2 linked regions of the Rattus norvegicus genome follow. The protein of the gene in region 1 interacts with the protein of each later gene in a biochemical or structural test. Links are inferred from orthologs where the notes say so. Each region holds a gene or a part of one and is shown on either strand. Other genes may lie near its edges.

The links.
Region 2: the proteins of Zeb1 (region 1) and Usp51 form a complex in vitro, tested with the Homo sapiens proteins (2 studies listed by BioGRID). The link is inferred for Rattus norvegicus from reciprocal best matches to the Homo sapiens genes ZEB1 and USP51.

The regions. Positions count from the first base shown.
Region 1 is NC_086035.1:56,807,684-56,812,094, forward strand, and holds the start of Zeb1 (zinc finger E-box-binding homeobox 1), read right to left. Parts: upstream 2,971-4,411; 5' UTR 2,948-2,970; coding exon 2,890-2,947; intron 2,707-2,889; exon of another isoform or gene 2,695-2,706; coding exon of another isoform or gene 2,113-2,694; exon of another isoform or gene 2,083-2,112; intron 1,969-2,082; exon of another isoform or gene 951-1,968; coding exon of another isoform or gene 944-950; intron 1-943. Other genes in the region: basic proline-rich protein-like, read left to right, coding at 2,113-2,694. UniProt on the Homo sapiens protein: Acts as a transcriptional repressor. Inhibits interleukin-2 (IL-2) gene expression. Enhances or represses the promoter activity of the ATP1A1 gene depending on the quantity of cDNA and on the cell type.
Region 2 is NC_086039.1:21,752,769-21,757,315, forward strand, and holds the start of Usp51 (ubiquitin carboxyl-terminal hydrolase 51), read right to left. Parts: upstream 2,811-4,547; 5' UTR 2,735-2,810; intron 1,997-2,734; 5' UTR 1,981-1,996; coding exon 1-1,980.

The sequences.
Region 1 (4,411 bases):
AATGTTTTTCTGCTGGCTTAGCTATGAAATACATATCTCAAAATGAATACAAATATTACCTATACATAAACAATACAAAATATCTCTATTAATATCTCCTATTGTATATATCACTGCTTATGCATTTAAATGGGTTTTAAGAGTTAACATTTTTCTAGACAATTCTCTGCTGAAACATCTGCAACTTAAATATGACTGCATTGCCAAGTAATATCGACCAGCACCTATCCCCAGGTTTCACAACACAATGCATACAACTTCGTTCTTAATTTGCAAAAATAGCAGGAGAAATCAAATAGCATGGCTGCAATGGTTAGCGATGGATGAAAGCATTTGAGAACAAAAAGAAATACAAAGAGAAAGCCAAAAGTGATGGAAACGGGAGATACCTGTGGTAGCACCTCGTTCTCTCACACACCTTTTGTTTTCTCTGAGTAATGCATACTGCAGTCAAGACATTTCAGTCACAAGAGCCCCAAATCTGTTTTTCTAATATTAAACACAAAGGGAAAACGCTAACAGCAAGCCTGCTACATAAATCCCTCCCCTGAAAATGAAGGCAGCAAAAAGGAGGCTGACATACATGCAGGAAAAAAACTAAACACCATCTTATTTCTACCTGCACAAGTTGCCATTTGCTGCAGCGATCAAGAATCTCTTTTTCCTGTTGATTTCAAGCACCTTTCGGAAGAGCCTTCTCCCCCCTTAAGTCATCTGTTGATATGCCTTATGTGTGTGATATTTTAATATCACAGGATCGCTAGGAGAAAAATCCATTCTTCCCTGTTCAGGTAAACATGTTTACAGCAGCTGCACAGACGCTGGGTGGTTCAGATTCACATGTCACACACATGTCGTCAGCAACAAGAAAAGCCCCTTTCTCTGGCGATTAACATTTTAAATAACATAAGGGCAGCGAACAGCCCTTTTCTACCCAACTTACCTTTCATAAAGCCACATCAGCAATAGCGGCAACAGCCCAATGTAGAACAGACACTATTTGACGCTAGAAGCAGGAAATTACAATTGCGGTAGCCTGTGCTCAGGTCCTTGCCACAACCAGTCACCTCTCCACAATGACGCTACCCAACACACCTTTCCCTTCGAACGAACGAACAGGCTTCTCCGAAACGCAACATTTATCTGAATTGAAAATCATTCATGGCAGCGGAGATTTTAATGTGGGCTCAGATATATTCAAAATGTGTTTACAACCGAGAAGAAACCTTTGGAACAGACTAAAATCTTCATATCTGCTTCTAGACAGGAAATCCCACACAAAATCTAAAATTGCCAGGAAAGGTTACAAAACCTGGCGTTTGGCATCCCGGAGGGGAGGGAGCAACGCAGGCCGGGCAGGGGTGGGGCGTGGGGGGCGCGCCACGGTTGCCACTTAAACAGGATTTCCTAATTCTCTGGACGACACATTGATGCCATCAGGGGCATATTTATTACCCCCAATCTTAAAAACTCGTTCAACACCCCGCGGGAGCCCCACGCAGCCACTGGGTACGAAAGGCATGAGGAATTCCTTATATAGCCGCGGCCGCGGCAGCACAGGGCTGTGGCCGCCCATCACCACACACAGGTACCCGGGCGGGGGCATCCCCCGGCCGCCGCCGCAGGGACTGTCCAGACAATGACCAGGAGCAGAGGCTGTCCGCGCTGCAAGCTGAGAGCACACACTCGCCTAAGAGGGGCATCACCCAGCAACTCCCCGCGTCTCCCCACGCTGGGAGAGCCCATGGGGCACCCACCGACAAAAGTCGAGGTGTCTTATTCTCTCCTAGTGCCTGTAGCTTTTTCTCTTAAGAAACAAAACAAAACAAAAAACCCCAACAACAACAACAAGAACAACAACAAGAACAACAACAAAAAACTCTGCAGCCAGGCCAAGGAGGAGTGTGTTTCCCTGGCACATCCGCGGAAATCAATACCCCGCGCAGCTGCACCGCTAGCCGCAGCCCCGTGCGCCCGTCGGGCCGCCAGCCCCCTCCCCCACCCGCCCCACTCGCGACCCCGTGCGCCAGCCCAGCTCCATTATCTGTCCTCTGCTCGCGCGTCGGGCCCAGGTAACAACTTCCCCAAACCGAAAGAGCCAAAGCGAGGCGCATGCACACAGCCCCGTGCCCGCCGGGACTCGGGCTGTCCGGGTGTCCCGACCTGTCTGTGCTGTTTCCCGGCCCGCAGGCGGCGAGTCCACGCACACACACGCCCTGTGGCAGCAGCCAGGAGCCGCCAGAGCGTGCCCGGCCCCCGACGGGCACCGCAGGCGCCGGGTTCCAACCCCCTGAGCGCCCGGCTCACGGCGGCCCCGCGCGTCCCCATCCCCGCCCGCCCGCGAGCGCGCGGGGCGCAACTTTCCCGCGGGCGCCCGACCCGGCGCGCAGCGCCCGCTCCCGCGCACACGCGCGCACGGTCGACACGCAGCCGACACGCAACTGGCCCGCGACCGCCCGTCCTCTCCCGCCCGCGCCCGCCCCGCAGTCCGCGCCCGCCCGCCGCAAGTTTGTTCCCCGCCGCCGCGGCCTGCGCGGAGGGAGGATCGCGCGCGGGGAGGCGCCGAGGGGCAGCAAGAGTGGAGAAAGTGCGGAAAGAAGCAACAGCCGCTCCACCCGCGGGCGGAAAAGTGGCCGGGCGCGGCGGCGGGATGCGGCGCGGCTAACGGTCCCCGGCGGCCGCCCGAGCCGCTAGGCGCAGAGGCAGGTAAGACATAACGGTCCAGGACGGCGGCCGCGGCGGCGGCGGCGGCGGCGGCAGCGGGGCGCACTACTTTACTTTCCCACTCCACTCGGCCCGGCCCCGCCGCCGCCCCCGGCCCGCTCGGCCCCGCGCCCCTCGCCCGGCAGCCCGCTGCCCGCCGCCACGCCGGGCCCCTCCGCCACTCACCGTTATTGCGCCGCGGGTTCGCCTGCTTTCTGCGCTTACACCTGGGGCCATCCGCCATGATCCTCTCGCTTGTGTCTAAATGCTCGAGTCACCTCCTCCCCCTCCTCCCTCCCTCCCTCCCTCCCCTTCCCCCCCCCACCCGCCGCCTCCACCCCTCCCCCTCCCCACCGCACCTGGTTTACGACACTCGGGGCTTTACGACATCACCTTCCTAACACCTAGCGGCGCTCGCTCTACGGCCGGAACCTTGTTGCTAGGGCCGGGGTGGTTTGCGGCAGCCTTAGACGCTGCGGAGTTTGAATCGTGGAGGCGAGGGAAAAGTTTTGCTCAGGTGTGGTGGGGTAGCGGAGAACGGTTCAGGGACTCTAGGGACAGGAACGGGAGGCTGCAGCATGGCTTCCTAGGCCAGGTGGAGCTGTAGGCATGGGCCACACCCGCTCAGCCCTCGCGCGGTGGAGTGCGCACTCTGCGGACCCGCGCGCTTCTGCTGTGGGTGCGGAGACCCGCGCGTGCGCCCCGGGGACGTGGACAACCAGGACTTGTCGCGCGCGAGCTACCTGACCCGTTGTGCCTCCTCCCTCCCCTCCCACGGACGCGCGGGTTTCCCCAGCCTACCCGGACGGGAAGTGACAGCAGTTGGGTTGAACTTCAGCAGGACAGACCGAGGCCAGAAATTCCGCTCGCAGGAAAGCAGCATGAGTAATCCTCCACACGGTGCCAGGCTCACTTCCTCATCCGCGCCTAGCTCACCTGCTGTCACCTTGCCTCCCCGCCCTGCAGACCCCAGGGTCGTGGTGCTCAAGAGTTGTAGTGACTTGCCTTTGGGACAAAAACAGCCCTAGGGGAGTATGCTCAGAAACCTGTAATCCGAAGCATCTGGAACCTGAGGCAAGAGGTTGGCAGCCTCAGGGGGCCAGCCTGTGCTATGAGTGGAACCCTGTCTTAAAATAACTAGTTTTCCACAAATCTGAGCAGTTCTCGAAGTGTGAAGGCCTCAAGGCTAAAAGCAAGGTTGTCTAGTGTGGGTTGAGGCTGGTTTTTATCTTAAGTCCTTCGACTTTGTACAAGACCCAAAACACCTTGATACCTGTTTTCAGAAATTGGGACTTAAATTGACCTTTCTCCCTCTGCTTCCCACCCCTTTTCAAAGGAGGAATTGTGTGGGACCACTCTTATGAGATAAATTAGCTAGGCTGTTATTTCAGATGTGTAGTTACTGATTTAAGTGTATTTATAAATAGAGATAACAACCCAGAAACATGCCTTAGAATGTAAGAAATACTACATTAAATCAGCACAGATCGGATAAATGACACCCACTTATTAGGTTTCTGCCTTCGGGTTCTCGCACACACTAGCAGTCTTTACATGTGGGAGGTGGAGGCAGCAAGGTCACAAGTACTAAGCCAACTTTGCACAGTGAGACCCTGACCATAAAAACAACTCCAACCTCCAAATGTTAAAAGACTCATTAAACTGAAGTAAGTGTTCATCTGGGGTCCAGTAATTAAAATGCACTGGC
Region 2 (4,547 bases), on another chromosome or scaffold:
GTCCTTTTCCTGACGGACAAAGCTGGTGTAATGGCCACTTTCCAAAGTACCATGGTGGTTAATCACTGCAAACAAAGAATATTTATTCTCAATTGGCACACACTCCGTTAATGGCTGGCCTTTCATTATGCTTTCTTTAGTAGAGGCCAAAAAGGGTGTCATGTCTAGCTCCAAAGGAAATGAGATAAAAGTATTAATCTTGCGTCTCTGTTTGCCTAAATGTTCAAACCGTTTCAGATGAAAGCAGGCCACAATCGGTAATTTCTTCATTGTGAGCTGTTTGGTAGATTGCTGGTAGCTTTGGCATCGACTGCATTTGATTTTGGCACTGCTTCCCAGGTCTTCGGGCCTTGTAAACCACTTCAGGCAATCTGTAAGTGAGATGACTCGTGGCTTCTGGCCTGTGCTGCCAGCCCTCCCTGGGGTATAAGAGACAGGCAAGTCCAGACTAATGTCCCAGCATGGGTCTATAGTGGTGGAGACACCATGACAGACTTGACAGGTGACATCGGACTGCAGGCCACCTGTAAAGATGTAGTCTATGATGCAGTTACAGTGGTTGAGGTTACCTTCTTGCTCGATGCCATCATCTCTGCTGTGTCTATGCAACACATCTAATATTGCAATCAGAAACTCATGAGCATCCTGTTGCCTGTACCCAGCTAGATGCTCTGCATGGATCCATATCAGGTGAAGCAATTTATAGGGAATATGAGGACTTTGGTTCCCCGAGTACATAGCTTGAAAAAGTGAAGACATCTCACAGACCAAACACAAGCTGGGGCTTGTCATCATGCATTTGTGCTTATCCGAAAGGAAGAACTCCTTCAGTAGTGGAATGCGGGTAAGTGCCTGGACAATACAGTTCATAAAGCAAGTATTCCCAAGATTAATTAACCCTCTGAGGCCTACAGTATAATACACTGTCTTCTTCCTCCTCTTTTTCTTGGGTTTTACCAAACTGGTCTCCTGTTCTTTGGACTCACAGATTGATTGATTTTCTTCAACCTCAGATGCCATTAGTTGCTGATAAGACATATCTCCTGCAGTGGACATTAAGAGTCCCAGAATTTTCTCTTTTGTTTCTTTGGCAATCTTTTCTATATCTTTGTCATATACATAATCCTTACACATAAAGCAATATATAACCCCATGGTAGAGGTCTACTGCTAAATTGTGTTGCTTAGTTTCTGCATGAATATGAATATGTTTCTCAGTAAAGCATCCGAAAAATACACAGGACAGACAAGAGTGGAGTCTGTTCTTATGCGTACTACATACACGACAGATGCATGTCTTTGCCTTACGCTTCCTAGTCTCCGGGGTTCCACTCCAAATGAAACGCTGATAGATCATCCGCAGGTTCCTCCGCCAGTTTTTAGCTACTTTAAAGATCTCTACATGAGAGCAGCCTGTGGGACCCTTATCAAACCCTACCTCCAGTAACCTGTTCTCTGTGCCATCTGAGTCCCCAGAGCAGCCTGGGTCACTAGGGTAGCTTTTCCGTGTTTGGGGTCTGGGTGCAGGCCTGGGTCTACGCCTGGAATTGCGCCAGGCCACCGGCCGCGGCTTGGGCAGGGGTGGTGGCGGCGGCGCTGGCGGGGGAGGCGGAGGTTTGGCGGGAGGCGGGGGTGGGGCCTTGAGCCCACGCCCTCCCCTGGAGCGGGACCTGGGCTGGGGCCGAGGGCGGGGCTTGCGGCGCGGGCAAACCGAGCTGGAGCTGGTGTGACAAGCAGCCGGGATAGAAGGGAGCACCTTCTCATCGCTGCCACTGCCCCTACTTGTTAAGTTCTCCGACGTGGGCTTGGGCTCCGGCCACAGCTCCGGCTTCATCTCCTGGGCTCCCTGTGTACCCCGCATCGTCTGCTCCATTCTCGATGCATTCTCAGCCGCCTGCTCCAAACAGGCTCCTCGACCACCTCCCGAACTCCAACAGGCGACGGAGCGGGAGGACCGGGACGCTTCTCGAACGTGGGCCATCGGCTCACTCCCAAGCCTGGGAAGAAACGCGTCTGGGAATGAGCTATGACTATGGGTGGAGGGAGACAGGAACTCGTGTGGACGGCCAGCCCGGCGTCATGGCCGCGGTGCCGTTAGCCTCAGCCCCTCCCCCTGCCGCGAGCCCCGCGCGCGGCCGCGGCTCCGCCCCTGCACCGGGGCTCGCGTGGCGTGCGGAACCCGAGCCCGCGGCTACCTGCTCCAAAGGCCGCCAGAACTGTGGGTACGGGGAAGGGGAGAAGGGGACTGGCTTGAGCTTTAGGGTGGAAAGGATGGCAACTCTTTTTAAAAGGCATAACCCGCTGTCTTTTCGGCGCTCTGTGCAGCCTGGGTTTGGCGCACCTTTCTCTGCGTTCTTTCCTTGCATCTTTAAGCCCCTTGAGTCAACAGTGTATGTTAAATATGGCTGAAAGGAGGTTATCTTTGGAAAAAACTGACTCAGTGGACGAAAGTGTCCCCTAGCTCCTTTCTTACCTATGCTTCCAGCCTCTACTCCTAAGCGCACTTGCTGTGTGCCACACTCGAGCGCCCTCTCTTGCTCTTTCGTGCCTGTGCCCTCACACCCCGTTTCTGGCTCCTGTCCTCTCATTTCCTAGGGTTTCCCCCAGAATTCAGACTCCCTTCACGCGTGACCACCCCCATCCACAGTACGCGACCCCCAAAGTGCATGCTCCCTCCCCGCAACCACGGCAGCTCCCCAAGCCCGCGGATTTGTAAAAAGGTCTGGGTTTGTTACCTGGGGCCCCAAGGCGCGCTTGATCTAGAAAGTCAGCTGCTGCTGCTGTCCAGGCGCTCCTCTGCCAGTCTTCTCTCTGACCTCTCTTCAGGGCTGGTCACAAGGGGGCCGCCCCCTGGCCCCTCCCCTCTCCACGTATGGGCCCCCAGCCCCGGAATCAGGCCTCCAACAGGGATGAATGGCACCGCTGTCCCCCTAGGCAGAAAAACCCCTTCCTGAAAGAGATTCTACCAGAGGTAACAACAGCCACAGATTTTAGAAAAAGATCTTGGGAAGGCTTAGGCTTCACCTGTTTATGGCACTCTACCGAGGGGGGGGGGTGGAGAAATAGAAAGGAAAAAAAAAAAAACCCTGAAACAACAGCAACAAAACTAACCAAGGTAGGGTTAGGGATTTACCAAGATGGCAAATTCTACAGTGTTCTCTACGGAAGCTTTAAATTTAAAATCGCAAGAGTAAAGTGGAGAGGTTATTATTTCTGAGTGTCGGGGAGAGGAAAAATAAGCATATGATTCAGGATGAAATAGACCTCAGCCCAGCAACTTGCTGTTTCTACAGGGGAAAACCATAAACACTTTCAGCCTTAGTTCATCAGTCAAAGGCAGAATAATGCTAACATGTTTACATGGAGTTGCAGCATATATGTTCTCGCATCCTTTACATTAGTAACTCTAGTACTCAGTGTTCAGGTTAAAACCAGTAGGTAGCACATTGCAGGGCATCAGCACACTTAAAAACACTGCTATGGGTGAATGTGTAAAGAACCCCGAAAAGGGGATCTGCCTGCTCTATAGTCTGGGCTCCTCCTTACCAAAAACTTTCCAGATCCCAGAAGTCTTTCACCAAGATACCTCCAGAGTATTAACACATATAGTTACAAAACAATTAGGAGAGATGCCTATAAAGAAAAGATTGGAATCAGGAAAATGTATCTCTAAATATTAGCTACGTTATTTCAGAATCAGTTAAAAAAAACTTCCTATTGAAACCTAACACTCTTCCCCATCACAACCTGGGTCTGCTCTCCCAGAGTTAACTCAATGACTTCAGGACATCAACTCAAAGGGGAGGTAGGGGCCACAGCTGACATGGACTATGGGGAAAGACCACAGGGACCTATAACTTTCAGGACTCATACCACAGACTTGGGCTTTCCCAAGATTCTGGCCTCCCTGTAAGATGCCCCCTCCTTTATACCTAGATACAATGAGCTATCCACTAAGGGAGACCTCTCATACCATACAAGTGAGGAGAGTTGGGGAGGGGGCTCTCAGAACACAAGGACAACCTATGATACCCTTTGACATGGCAACGAGAGCTGCTGGGGAAGCAGTTATATTCCCAACATAACCTGTCTCTGCCTACTAAACATCCCCAGATGTCTACACTAAGCAAAGATGTCCTGCTGAGTCTATTGGTTGGGAGGGATGAAAGAAAGAACAAGCCGTGTCTCTTCTGGGCCTTCCATTCCATTCCTCCCATTCCCCATTGAGGTATGAGTTACCAGTAGCTCCTGAATGGGTCCTAGAAGGGTCTAAATCACATTTCAGTCTCAAAATCCCGAGTTGACTAAATAAAAACACAGTTAAGTAGTATGAAAGGGGAGCCCAAAGGAACAGAGAGGGCACCCACCTTTCAAACAGACTTGCCTGTATCCAAGTAATATGGATGTTCTAAACAGAAGCTTCACATTCTGAGAAAGGAGAGAGACATTCTAAAATGGCTGTGACTGGAACAAGGGAAGCAGGAAGATTGTCAAAATTTAAATAATATAACTATGTAACTGTAATTTCAGGTGATCAAACCAAACTTG